Linked DNA regions of Macaca fascicularis. The protein of the gene in region 3 purifies or fractionates together with the protein of the main gene of each other region. This does not show direct contact. Links are inferred from orthologs where the notes say so. Each region holds a gene or a part of one and is shown on either strand. Other genes may lie near its edges.

Region 1 (3,654 bases), on a different chromosome or scaffold from region 3:
TACTTTTGTAATCTGTGCTATTGGAAAGTGAGAGGCAGTGAGCACCCTATTGCTGGAAGTGTGCAAACAGCATCTGACCTTACTGATGAATTGGTAAGAACGTGGTATGTGATATTCAAGGGGAGGTGGTTCATGAGACCACTCTGGTCTGGAGGTTGCAGAACTCCAGGATCTGTCGTTAGGCCCTGGGAGGGGAGCTGGTGCTCTGAGGTGCCTGGCAGAAGCTTCTGTGAGCTTGGGGCTAGAGGACAAAGGGTAATGCTGTCTGATGGAAGGGCCAGGGTTCACACAGAAGCTTGAACCACACCAGCATGGCTGACTTAGGCCTCTGGAGTACAGGGAGATAAGGTGGGCCTGGTCTCATCCTTGGGGGTGTAGCCTGGTCAGGACTGTGGCTTAAGCTCTGGGTGCAGTGGAGCATGTGAAGGTATGCCACAGGCGCTTGAGAAAGAGTCCTGGGCAAAGCTCATGGGATTTGAGAAGACTCCCGGTCCTAAACAGGCAACAGAGATATAGGGAGCCAGGGGACCAGTGCTTGCACCTTTCCTCAGCCTCTTATGAATCATGAGAATTTCGGGAAACTGCTTCAACTCTAAGGCTTGATTCCCGATCTGTCAAACGGGGCAACACTCCCTGGCCTTCTCACAGTCACCAGGCACCCTTTCTTAGGCAGGGGACTGTGGCAAGTACTTCGTGTGCTGGCTCCAGTGCAGAGGCAGGAGGGAGGCACTAGTACTAACCCCATTTTATGGTTGAAACATTGAGCCTCACATAGGAGAAAGGCGTCTGCCCAGGACCACGGAGCTGTTAGGTGGTAGAGCCGGGCTTCGACCCAACACTCTGAAGCCTGTATGTTTAACTGTGCACTGCTGCCTGCCTCACAGGGCTCAGATGAATGTCACAATAGAGGAAAGAGCTCTGGAAGCTGTGAGATGCTGTTTAAATATGATGAGATTTTTCCCTATGGGAAAGACCTGCCCTCTCCCGCAAGGCCTGCCAGCCCAGCTCTGACCCTGCAGCGACTGCAAAGAGAAGGCATGGCGTACCTGGGTCAGTGGCAGCTCTTCCTCACTGCTCTCCGAGGACCCCTCCGTGTTCCCCTCTGGAGGTGCTGGGGCCAGGGTCTTGCTTCTGGCAGGTTTGGAGTTACTGTCCTTCTGAGGGGACAAGACCTGGATAAGCACGTGGTCGGGGAGAGGGGCATTTGCTGAGGGGGAAAGAGCCAGCAGGCAATGATCCTCAGGCACTCTGGTTTCCAGGGGAGGCACCGTGGCCCCTTCCTGCACATGCACAGGAATAGCTGCTGCTCTGACCTGCCCCACAGCCACCGGAAACATGCTTCCACCCTGCTAGCTCCTTCCAGAGCTAACTTCGAACGTGAAAGGGATTTATGACTCCGATACAGCTAAAACCTGAGGGCTGCAGGGCTGTTGGCCCAGGGTCTGGACAAGAGGTGACAGCAGCCTGGGACAAGGTTGCAGGCACAAGCCAGTGGTCCCAGCACAGTTCACCTCTGGTTGTAACATCCCCAGCCAAAAGCAGGAGCTGCCTAGAAGTGTTCCACTGGCTACCATACCCTCCTGCTGGGGCAGGCATGATAATGGGGGCTGGACTGGTGAACACTGCAGTCAGAGGAGGACTCAGAGATCCGGGTGGAAATGCTGGTGGTGATGGCAGCTCAGTGGTCCCTACTGGAATGGGGGACCCCTTTTCCCTACTCAGCCTAGCCAAGAAAGTAGGACCCAGGCTGCCTGAGCTTCCAATTTCTCAAGAGAAGCTGGAAGATCTGTACGTCATTTCCAATTTTTAAATGGGGCAACTACAATGCACACTGCTGGCTGCCTCCTAACAGCCATGCCCCCATCTGTTCCTTGCTAACAGAACCCTCACTGTTCAGTGGCTCCTACCACATGCTTCAGGGAGGGTGGTCCCTCCTCCCAGCCAGTCATGGGAACTACTGGCTTCTTGTCTATGGCTAAGAGGGTAGCTAGCACATCCAGCCTGAGGTCTGAGTAGCCTTAAGTCTACTCCTCAGTCTTTTTTGAGATGGACTCTTGCTCTGCTCACTCTGTCGCCCAGGCTGGAGTGCAGTGGCACAATCTTACTCACTGCAACACCTCCTCCTCCCCGGGTTCAAGTGATTCTCTTGCCTCAGCTGGGATTACAGGCCAGTGCCACCAGGCCCAGCTAATTTTTGTATTTTTAGTAGAGACAGGTTTCGCCATGTTGGCCAGGCTGGTCTTGAACTCCTGACCTCCAGTGATCCGCCTGTCTCAGCCTCCCAAAGTGCTGGGATTACAGGTGTGAGCCACTGCACCTGGCCTGCCCCCAGCACTTTAGGAGATGCTGCAGCCCTGCTATGACCATAAAGCTGATGGAGCACAGAGATGGAAATCTGGTCACCACTGATGCTTAGCTGAAGGAACCAGCTTTTCAGCAGCTGGAACCTGGGACTCTGTGCACTGTAAGAGTCAATCCCCTTAGTGAAGCTCTTTTGAATGGGGCTTTCTCCTGCAACTTAGGCCATTCTGATGGAGAGAGGAACTCGTTGAAAACTTAAAAACAAAAATACTACACAGGCCAAAATATGGCTGAGGCCTATGCTTTAGTCTGTCATTTAGGTCCTCCATAAATCTACCAGTAACAAGCACCTGGGAGGGCCTACGGCTTGTAGGACAGCAGCCTTCAGTGACCATGCACGTTCATGCCCAGCCCGTCTGCACCCACTGAGGGGCCCTGTCCACTTTTGTGCCTGGTCATCCTTCAGCTCCATCACCCGCTCCTCTTCTGGCCTCTCAGAGACCTGCTCTTTCAGCTGTCAGCACCACCAGCATACTCTGCGATAATCCGGCCACCTGTCTTGCCCCACAGACTGTGAGCTCCTTGAGGGCAGGGCCAAATGTCTTTCGCCCCCAGTAATGGTTTGTTATATCAAAGGCAGAGGTTAGGGATAGGGAGCATTCATCTCAGTGCTTGTTTTACTCATGACGAAAACAAATCTAAGAGAGGTTATGCAGCTTGGCCTGGCACAGGGACTTCCAGCTTCCCTTAAGAAATGGAAGATCTGGCCACAAAGAAGGTCCATTTCCACAGTCATGACTGGCTGAAGCTGATAGGAACTGTCCTTATGGATGGGGCAAGGGCTCCCCGGTCTGTCCTACTTGCTACCATTATCTACCATCTCTCCTGACATTTTTTTTTTTTTTTTTTTTTTTGAGACAGAGTCTCACTCTGTTGCCCAGACTGGAGTGCAATGGCACGATCTTGGCTCACTGCAACCTCCGCTTTTCCAGGTTCAAGCAATTCTCCTGCCTCGGCCTCCCGAGTACCTGGAACTACAGGCACCCGCCATCATGCCTGGCTAATTTTTGTATTTTTTTTTTTTTTTTTTTTTAGTAGAGACAGGGTTTCACCATGTTGGCCAGGCTGGTCTTGGACTCCTGACCTCATGATCTGCCCGCCTTGGCCTCCCAAGCTACTGGGATTACAGGCTTGAGCCACTGCGCCCGGCTGACATCTATCATTTCTGCCAGGCCTGCATCAGTCACGTCCATCACACACCTGTGCCCTGGCAGTGCTGGAGTCTGTCATCCCACACTTCTGTAGGATGTAGCAAGCCCTGCTGTCTCCTGCAAGCAGACCGAGGGAATTGTC
Region 2 (3,654 bases), on a different chromosome or scaffold from region 3:
TGTGGCTTTTTAATGGCATCCTAAAGCTCTGTTTCTAATAGTACAGAGGAACTGAAGTCTATAATTTTTCAACTGTTATAAAACTTCCTAAGAATAACTTCCACCACTCGACACTCACTGATTTCTTGTTCAGTCATTTAAAAAAAATACTTCTTACTCTGGGTTGTACTTACTGTCGATTTGTAACTCTCTTTATTTTCAATAACATTTTAAACTTTCTGGTAATTTGATGTAAGTACGAAATGAGAGTACATCAAACTCACTATGTGATAAGTTTTTATATCAGGCCAGATTAATAAACCATAAAATCTCTTAAGATTTTATGTGAATTTTTTAAAAATAAAAATCTTAGGTTATTTTATATACAGACACAAGTTTTAAATATAAATTCAAGTTTAAGATAGGTTTTAATAAATGCAAGAAAATGTGAAATAAGGCTAGCCAATTTTAAAAACATTCTTTAACAATAAATCTTTGGATGGGGGAGGGCAATTGTCTACTTCAATAAATTAATTTTCATCCTTGCCTACTCAGATAACATACTGAAGAAATTCAAGTTAATAGAACAAATAAACAAAAACAATATTGGATTAAGAAGAAACTGAACTGAATCAAAGGCAGAGTTTGGCCATATTTTCAACAAACAGAATAACACAGTTATACATAAAACTACTATACTTGAAGTCTAGCATGAACACGGCCCATTTATAGGAAAGGGGTGATTATTAAAGACCAAAAAGATAATTATAATTAGGTCTGAATTCTGTATTATTATTTTATTCATTTAACTAGACCTGAAATCAGATAGAATACATTTTACATTAATAACTACATTTTTGCAATTTATACTTTATTTTTTTCCTGCTAAGCAGGCAAAATTCAGTGTTACAAACGTTATTACCAAAAAGCATTATTATTTTATTATATAAGTGGCTCTTGCATTTGTTTTTAAATGTCTATGCAAATTCTTACTAAAGAATGTATACTCTTTAATTAAAGCTTTAAAACATACTCTATTATGCAAAATGCCCAATATTTTAAAAAACTGAATAGTCTAAATTTCTGATGATGTATGTATGCTTAGAATTCTTTGCTCAATACTATTTTTTGTGACTTCCTTTCACAGTCCCTTCAGCAAAAACACCCCTTGTCACAACCTAGCCAAGAACAAAAAAAGCCATATGCATAAGAGTTCCCTGATTTCGGTGGCAAGGGATGAGATTTTTTGAAAGTTTCTAGCTTTTCTTCAGAGTTAGGTTATAAGGGAAAGGCTTATCTAGAAAAAATAAAAAATTACAGGCATAGATAAGGATGGTGTTGTTTATTTTAGTTGCTGTATATTTACCTTCAATTACAACAAATGCATAATCTCTTACCTGAGTGACTTTTCTGGATTCAGATTCACTTTCAGATTCTGACTCTGATTCAGAATCTGAAGAACTGTCTTCTATTGAACTAGATTCGGCATTTGAAGAATCTGAAGTTTTAGATTTTTCATTTTCCTTCTCCCCATCTTCAGAATCACTATATATAATAGTAAATTTTGAAATATCAACTTTAACTCCTTTATATAAGTCGTTTATATAAAAAATGGTTTTTAAATTCCAGAATACATTAATGAGGTAATAATGAAGGTATTACCCATAACCAAATAAATTAGAACCCATTCAAATTCAATTCTATCCTGTCATACACACTTCATATGCAAAAAGTCATAAAATGACACTAAACAATATAATCAAAAACAATGTAGAAAATATTAAATGTCTGATTTACCAAGAATTAAGTACTACCAGTAACAACTTCAAAGATATTTAGGCTGATTTTTAAAATGCTATCTCAAAATACTGTGTGTGTATACACATATATATATTGGAGACAGGGTCTCATTGTCATCTAGGCTGGAGTACAGTGGTGCAATCATGGCTCACTGCAGCCTCGATCTCCCAGGCTCAAGCGATTCTCCCACTTCAGCCTCACAAGTAGTTGGGACTACAGGCGGGCACTACCACATCCAGCTAATTTTATATTTTTTGTAGAGACAGGGTCTCACGATATTGCCTAGGCTGGTCTGGAACTCCTGGGCTCAAGTAATCCTCCCAACTCGGCCTACCAAAATGTTGGGATTACACGCTTGAGCCACCACACCCGGTTTAGTAATATATTTAAATATTTATATATCTACTTTTGCTAAAATAGACTTGTATTTTATACACTTTTCTACCCAAGAAAATTACTTACTACAAGTTCTCAAATGTGACCTTAAACACATTCTATGAGAAATGTGTTTCTGGTTAACAAAGGAACTTCTAAAGTACTATCTTGCTACAAATTTAAGCTAATCAAATATAAACTTTTAAATTACCAAATGATCATACCTAAGTGCTTAACACCATTCATTTGTTCATTTGTTCATCTGCTCAACAAATATTAATTAATTTTTGACTACATGTTGGCATTATGTTAGGTGCTAAGGATAACAATGGTTAAGAGGATCTATGTGTGTCTACCCTACAGAGTCTACAGTCCACTGGAGGATATAGATAAGGTGGCAGTGATAATACAGTATAGTAAGTAATAAATTATAGTGTGTCAGGAGAACATTTGGAGAGACACCTAAACAAACTTAATCCAATTAGGAATGCTTCCTGGAGAAAGAGACATATAAGCCAAGATATAGGAGTAAGGCTGGCAGATGGGCAGGGAAGCAGCTCTCCAAGGAGAAGGAATAACATGTGAGATGACCAAACACCCTTATCTCAGGGGATGAGAGATGCCTTGTGGTGTTTTATATTTTCCTGGAAACTAAAAGTCTAGTTCTCTCTACAACATGTGTGTGTATATTTTTAAGAATCTACTGTGGGCCAGAAAGGGCTAGGCATTTCATACCAATCATACTGATTACCTAATTTAAATGCACTCTTCCTGGGTACATTATTATCCCATTTACAATAATGAAATTAATATTCAGAAAGGTTAAATAACTTGCTCAGGGACACATAACAAGAGGGGCAGAACTAGAATCTGAACTCAAGCCTGTCTCACTCCAAAGTCCGTATTTTTTCCACTATGTCATACTATCTCCCTTCAAATGAAAACACTTTGGAGTGTAAAATTTAAATTCGGTCATAAATATTTATGATTACTAAAGGGTGGTTTTTGAAGATGCTTAAAGCTTATTAAGAGCTTTAAAAAATTATCATACTAGCAAAGTTAAAAAAACATTCTAAGAGGCAGAAAAATACTGGGGGAGGGAGAGGAGTGAGGCAAGGAAAGAATCGATATTTCCTAGAATTGATTTTTGTAGAGGAAATATGATTGCTGTTTATTAAAAATGGAGCCATGGCAACATCTCAGAGCACATGTAATTATATTTGAAGACTGAAAAATATGTTGTTGTTTTTCCCTGGCAAAAAAACGGCAATTTATTATCCCCAATTCACTGGTTAAAATGTGTACTTAAAAATATAAGGTTTAGAATGTATTTGTGGTTCTCTTTGTAATAAACAATTCTTTTAAATTCAAATGTGGGTAAAGAGAAAAATCTATTTCTGAAGAAAGGAATAATAAAACTAATACATGACTACAAATTTCTAGTATACTGACTTCTGCCATCTGAAAGGACATTTCATGCACTGAACAAAACTTTCCCTT
Region 3 (2,865 bases):
AAGAAACCTTATGCATAGCCCCATAATATAAAGCTGATCTGCTCCAGCTGAAATAGACCCAGAGTGAGATTTCATTTGGGGCATATGTGGAAAGCACAGGTGTTCACAGGAAGAACGCAGAGCATTATAGAATCTTTGTGCACTGCTCACCCTACACCCTCTCCCCAGCTCAGGGAAGCTATCTTTGGCTAATAGCAGGGTCTGTCCTTGTGGTGGCTGGCCCAGGTAGATTCCAGCTCTATGCCTAAATCAAGAGTGAGGCTCCTCGGTCAACAGGAGTCAAAAACAGCAGCCCTTACTTGAGCTCTCAGCCCAGGGAGTATTCCTCGGTCCAAATGCAGCCCAAGACCCACTACTCACATGGATTTCTAGAGTCCAGAGGACCCCCACCACCACCACCATTGAGGAATACACTGTGGTGAGGATGATCTTCACTCTCAGCCCAAGAAATCCACAGGGCACTGTTCACTACTACTCCCAGCCACTACTTATGAACCTGCTCCCAGCCTCTCCCCTCCCCACTGCCTTCCAGGGGCTCCTCCCCAGTAGGACAGAGGAAGCAAAGGCAAGAGGGTGGCCAGAGGCTTTGCAGGGTGATGTTTATTTGCCAGGTTCAGCAGGCACACAGTTAACCCACCGACCTTCACACACCAGAGCAGACCCACAGGCATGCAGGGAGAAGGGCAGGACCACCAAGGAGTGCCAAGCAAGGGCGAGGACCAATGTGGCTGCCTGTCCAGGCTGTGATTGGGTCTGACAAAGGGCACCTGTCAGGAGCCTCCCTCAGGAAACTGGGGACTTTAACTCTACTTCCTCTTCCCAGCAACAGCAACTCAATGTGGCTCTGAGGCACCTGGGCCTCTGATAGAAGTGAGCTGTAAAAATAGAGGGAGTTCCTCTTCATTTCATTGTTGAACTGAGCAGAAAATCTGCCCCTGTAAAGGGCAAACCCCCAAATCAGATTATGGGGTATTGCCATGCAGCAAGCCCCCTAGGGTGGAGAGGACTTGTGGGTTGAGATTGTAGGGGGTGGACATCTAAGAAGAGCAAGGAGATATCAGCCCTCCCTGTTTGGCCCAGGGTAAGGACCTAGTTAGGCTGGAACACTGGGTGCTGGGCTTGTACTCTGCCCTGCCAGGTCTCATTGCCACATCCTAATTGTTCCTCCTTTCCCTTAGAGGCTCATGAGGTTCAAGGTACAGGGCAGCCCACTGCAGGACTCAGGAGGGCAGGAAATAACACAAATAACAGGGTCTTAGGAGGGACAAATATGGAAGCTTCTGCCTTCCTACTCATTCTCTCCACTCCTGAGGACCCCCACAGCTAGAGAGCAGTGTCCCTAGCCATGTGCCCAGTCTGGACTTAAACATACTGCCCTACCTTTCTGCATCCTCTATACCAGCCTGTATCCGCTCCTAGAGCAGCCCACACACCACAGGCACACACCTTCATGTGCAGGAGCCTAAGACCGCTGACAGGGCCTCGCTGGAGGACCAGCTCTCAGGGCAAGGCCGCCCAAGTTTAGGGCCTGGGAGAGTGTGGGACCTGCAGGGCCTGCCTAGGGGAATGGTGAAGCAAGAAGGGAAGGGGAAGGAGAGCAGGAGCCCCCTGAGTATCCCTAGAGCAGCATCCCACAAGGAACAGAAACTGGTGAAGCTAGCAAAAGACAGAAAAGCCACAAGGAATCCATGCAGGGGCTGGGGCTGGCCCTGCCACTGGCCTGCCCACCACTCACACACATACACACAGGAGACGAGACTGCTCTCCCGTGACCCCTAAGTATGCCCCACTGGGATGTGGGGGCATGGGGGAGCGAGGGCATCATGCCAGTGACTCTATGTACAGTGAGAAGCCCCTCATCCACTCTCCCACCCTCCTGCCCATCCCCCGCCCCCCCTCACCAGGCTGCCTACTCAGCTGGCCTCCTCCCTTTGAGACTCCTGGGCATAACCAGCAGCCTCTTCCCCTTTACTAGAGGGTGGAGCCTGGCCTGTGGCGCCCTCTGGGGCTGTGCTGTCCGGCTGGGCCATAGCCGGCTCAGGGGTGGCAGCTGCCTTGGTGGCTAGTGTGGCACTGCTTTGGATGGTGGGCACAGTGCTCTCTTCTGTGGCCGGTGTGGCTCTCCCATCAGTGGCTGGAGTAGCGCTCCTGTCAGTGGCTGGGGTGACACTCCCATCAGTGGCTGGAGTGATGCTTCCATCAGTGGCTGGGGTGACACTGCCATCAGTGGCTGGGGTGGCACTTCCATCTGTGGCTGGGGTGGCACTACGGTCTGCGGGGGCCACATTATCACTCTTTGCAGCATGAGCAGCATCACCCTCAGGGACTGAGGTAGCTCCACTCGCAGCTGCAGCTATGGCCCCACCTGCAGCCCCGGGGGTGGCAGTGTCTGTGGCTGAGGCCGACTGGGCTGCAGCCGTGCTGGACTGCTCTGGCGCCCGGAGCCGTTTCATGAGGGTGGTCACTCGGACAGCCTTCTGAAAGGAGCACAGTGGAGAAAGGCTAAGGGTGAAGCTTGCTGGATCCATTGCTTGGCAGTGACCAGACCAAACTCCTTCCATAGTACCCCCGGCCACCTCCATCCACCCCAGGGCCAAGTACCCAGCTGCTCAGCACTCCTACTTAAGGTAATCGCAGTGGCTACACCCACACCTGATGGCCTGAGAAAAGCTTATGTGTGGCTGCAGGGGTGTGATGCAGGCAAGAAACTGAGTGCCAGAAGGAATAGTTGGGATAGAGCCAAGAAGGGAGCTATCCAAGCCTTACCTTCCACTTGGCCCTGGCAAAGTTCTTTTCAATCTGGGCACAGACACCATCCTTGATGTTCTTATCAGAAGCAGCATTGCCAGAAATCCTGGAAAGGGT

Evidence for each region. Proteins that work in one complex are often made in the same cells at the same time.
Region 1: the proteins of CAMKV (region 3) and TCOF1 purify together in Homo sapiens (affinity purification with mass spectrometry; 3 studies listed by BioGRID and IntAct, counting the BioPlex papers as one, with this or other methods). This does not show direct contact. The link is inferred for Macaca fascicularis from reciprocal best matches to the Homo sapiens genes CAMKV and TCOF1.
Region 2: the proteins of CAMKV (region 3) and AP3B1 purify together in Homo sapiens (affinity purification with mass spectrometry; 3 studies listed by BioGRID and IntAct, counting the BioPlex papers as one, with this or other methods). This does not show direct contact. The link is inferred for Macaca fascicularis from reciprocal best matches to the Homo sapiens genes CAMKV and AP3B1.

Annotation. Positions count from the first base shown.
Region 1 is NC_088380.1:157,261,601-157,265,254, reverse strand, and holds part of TCOF1 (treacle protein), read right to left. Parts: intron 1,173-3,654; coding exon 1,047-1,172; intron 1-1,046.
Region 2 is NC_088380.1:82,071,581-82,075,234, forward strand, and holds part of AP3B1 (AP-3 complex subunit beta-1), read right to left. Parts: intron 1,525-3,654; coding exon 1,377-1,524; intron 1-1,376. UniProt on the Homo sapiens protein: Subunit of non-clathrin- and clathrin-associated adaptor protein complex 3 (AP-3) that plays a role in protein sorting in the late-Golgi/trans-Golgi network (TGN) and/or endosomes.
Region 3 is NC_088376.1:112,891,235-112,894,099, forward strand, and holds the end of CAMKV (caM kinase-like vesicle-associated protein), read right to left. Parts: intron 2,855-2,865; coding exon 2,767-2,854; intron 2,478-2,766; coding exon 1,914-2,477; 3' UTR 583-1,913; downstream 1-582. UniProt on the Homo sapiens protein: Does not appear to have detectable kinase activity.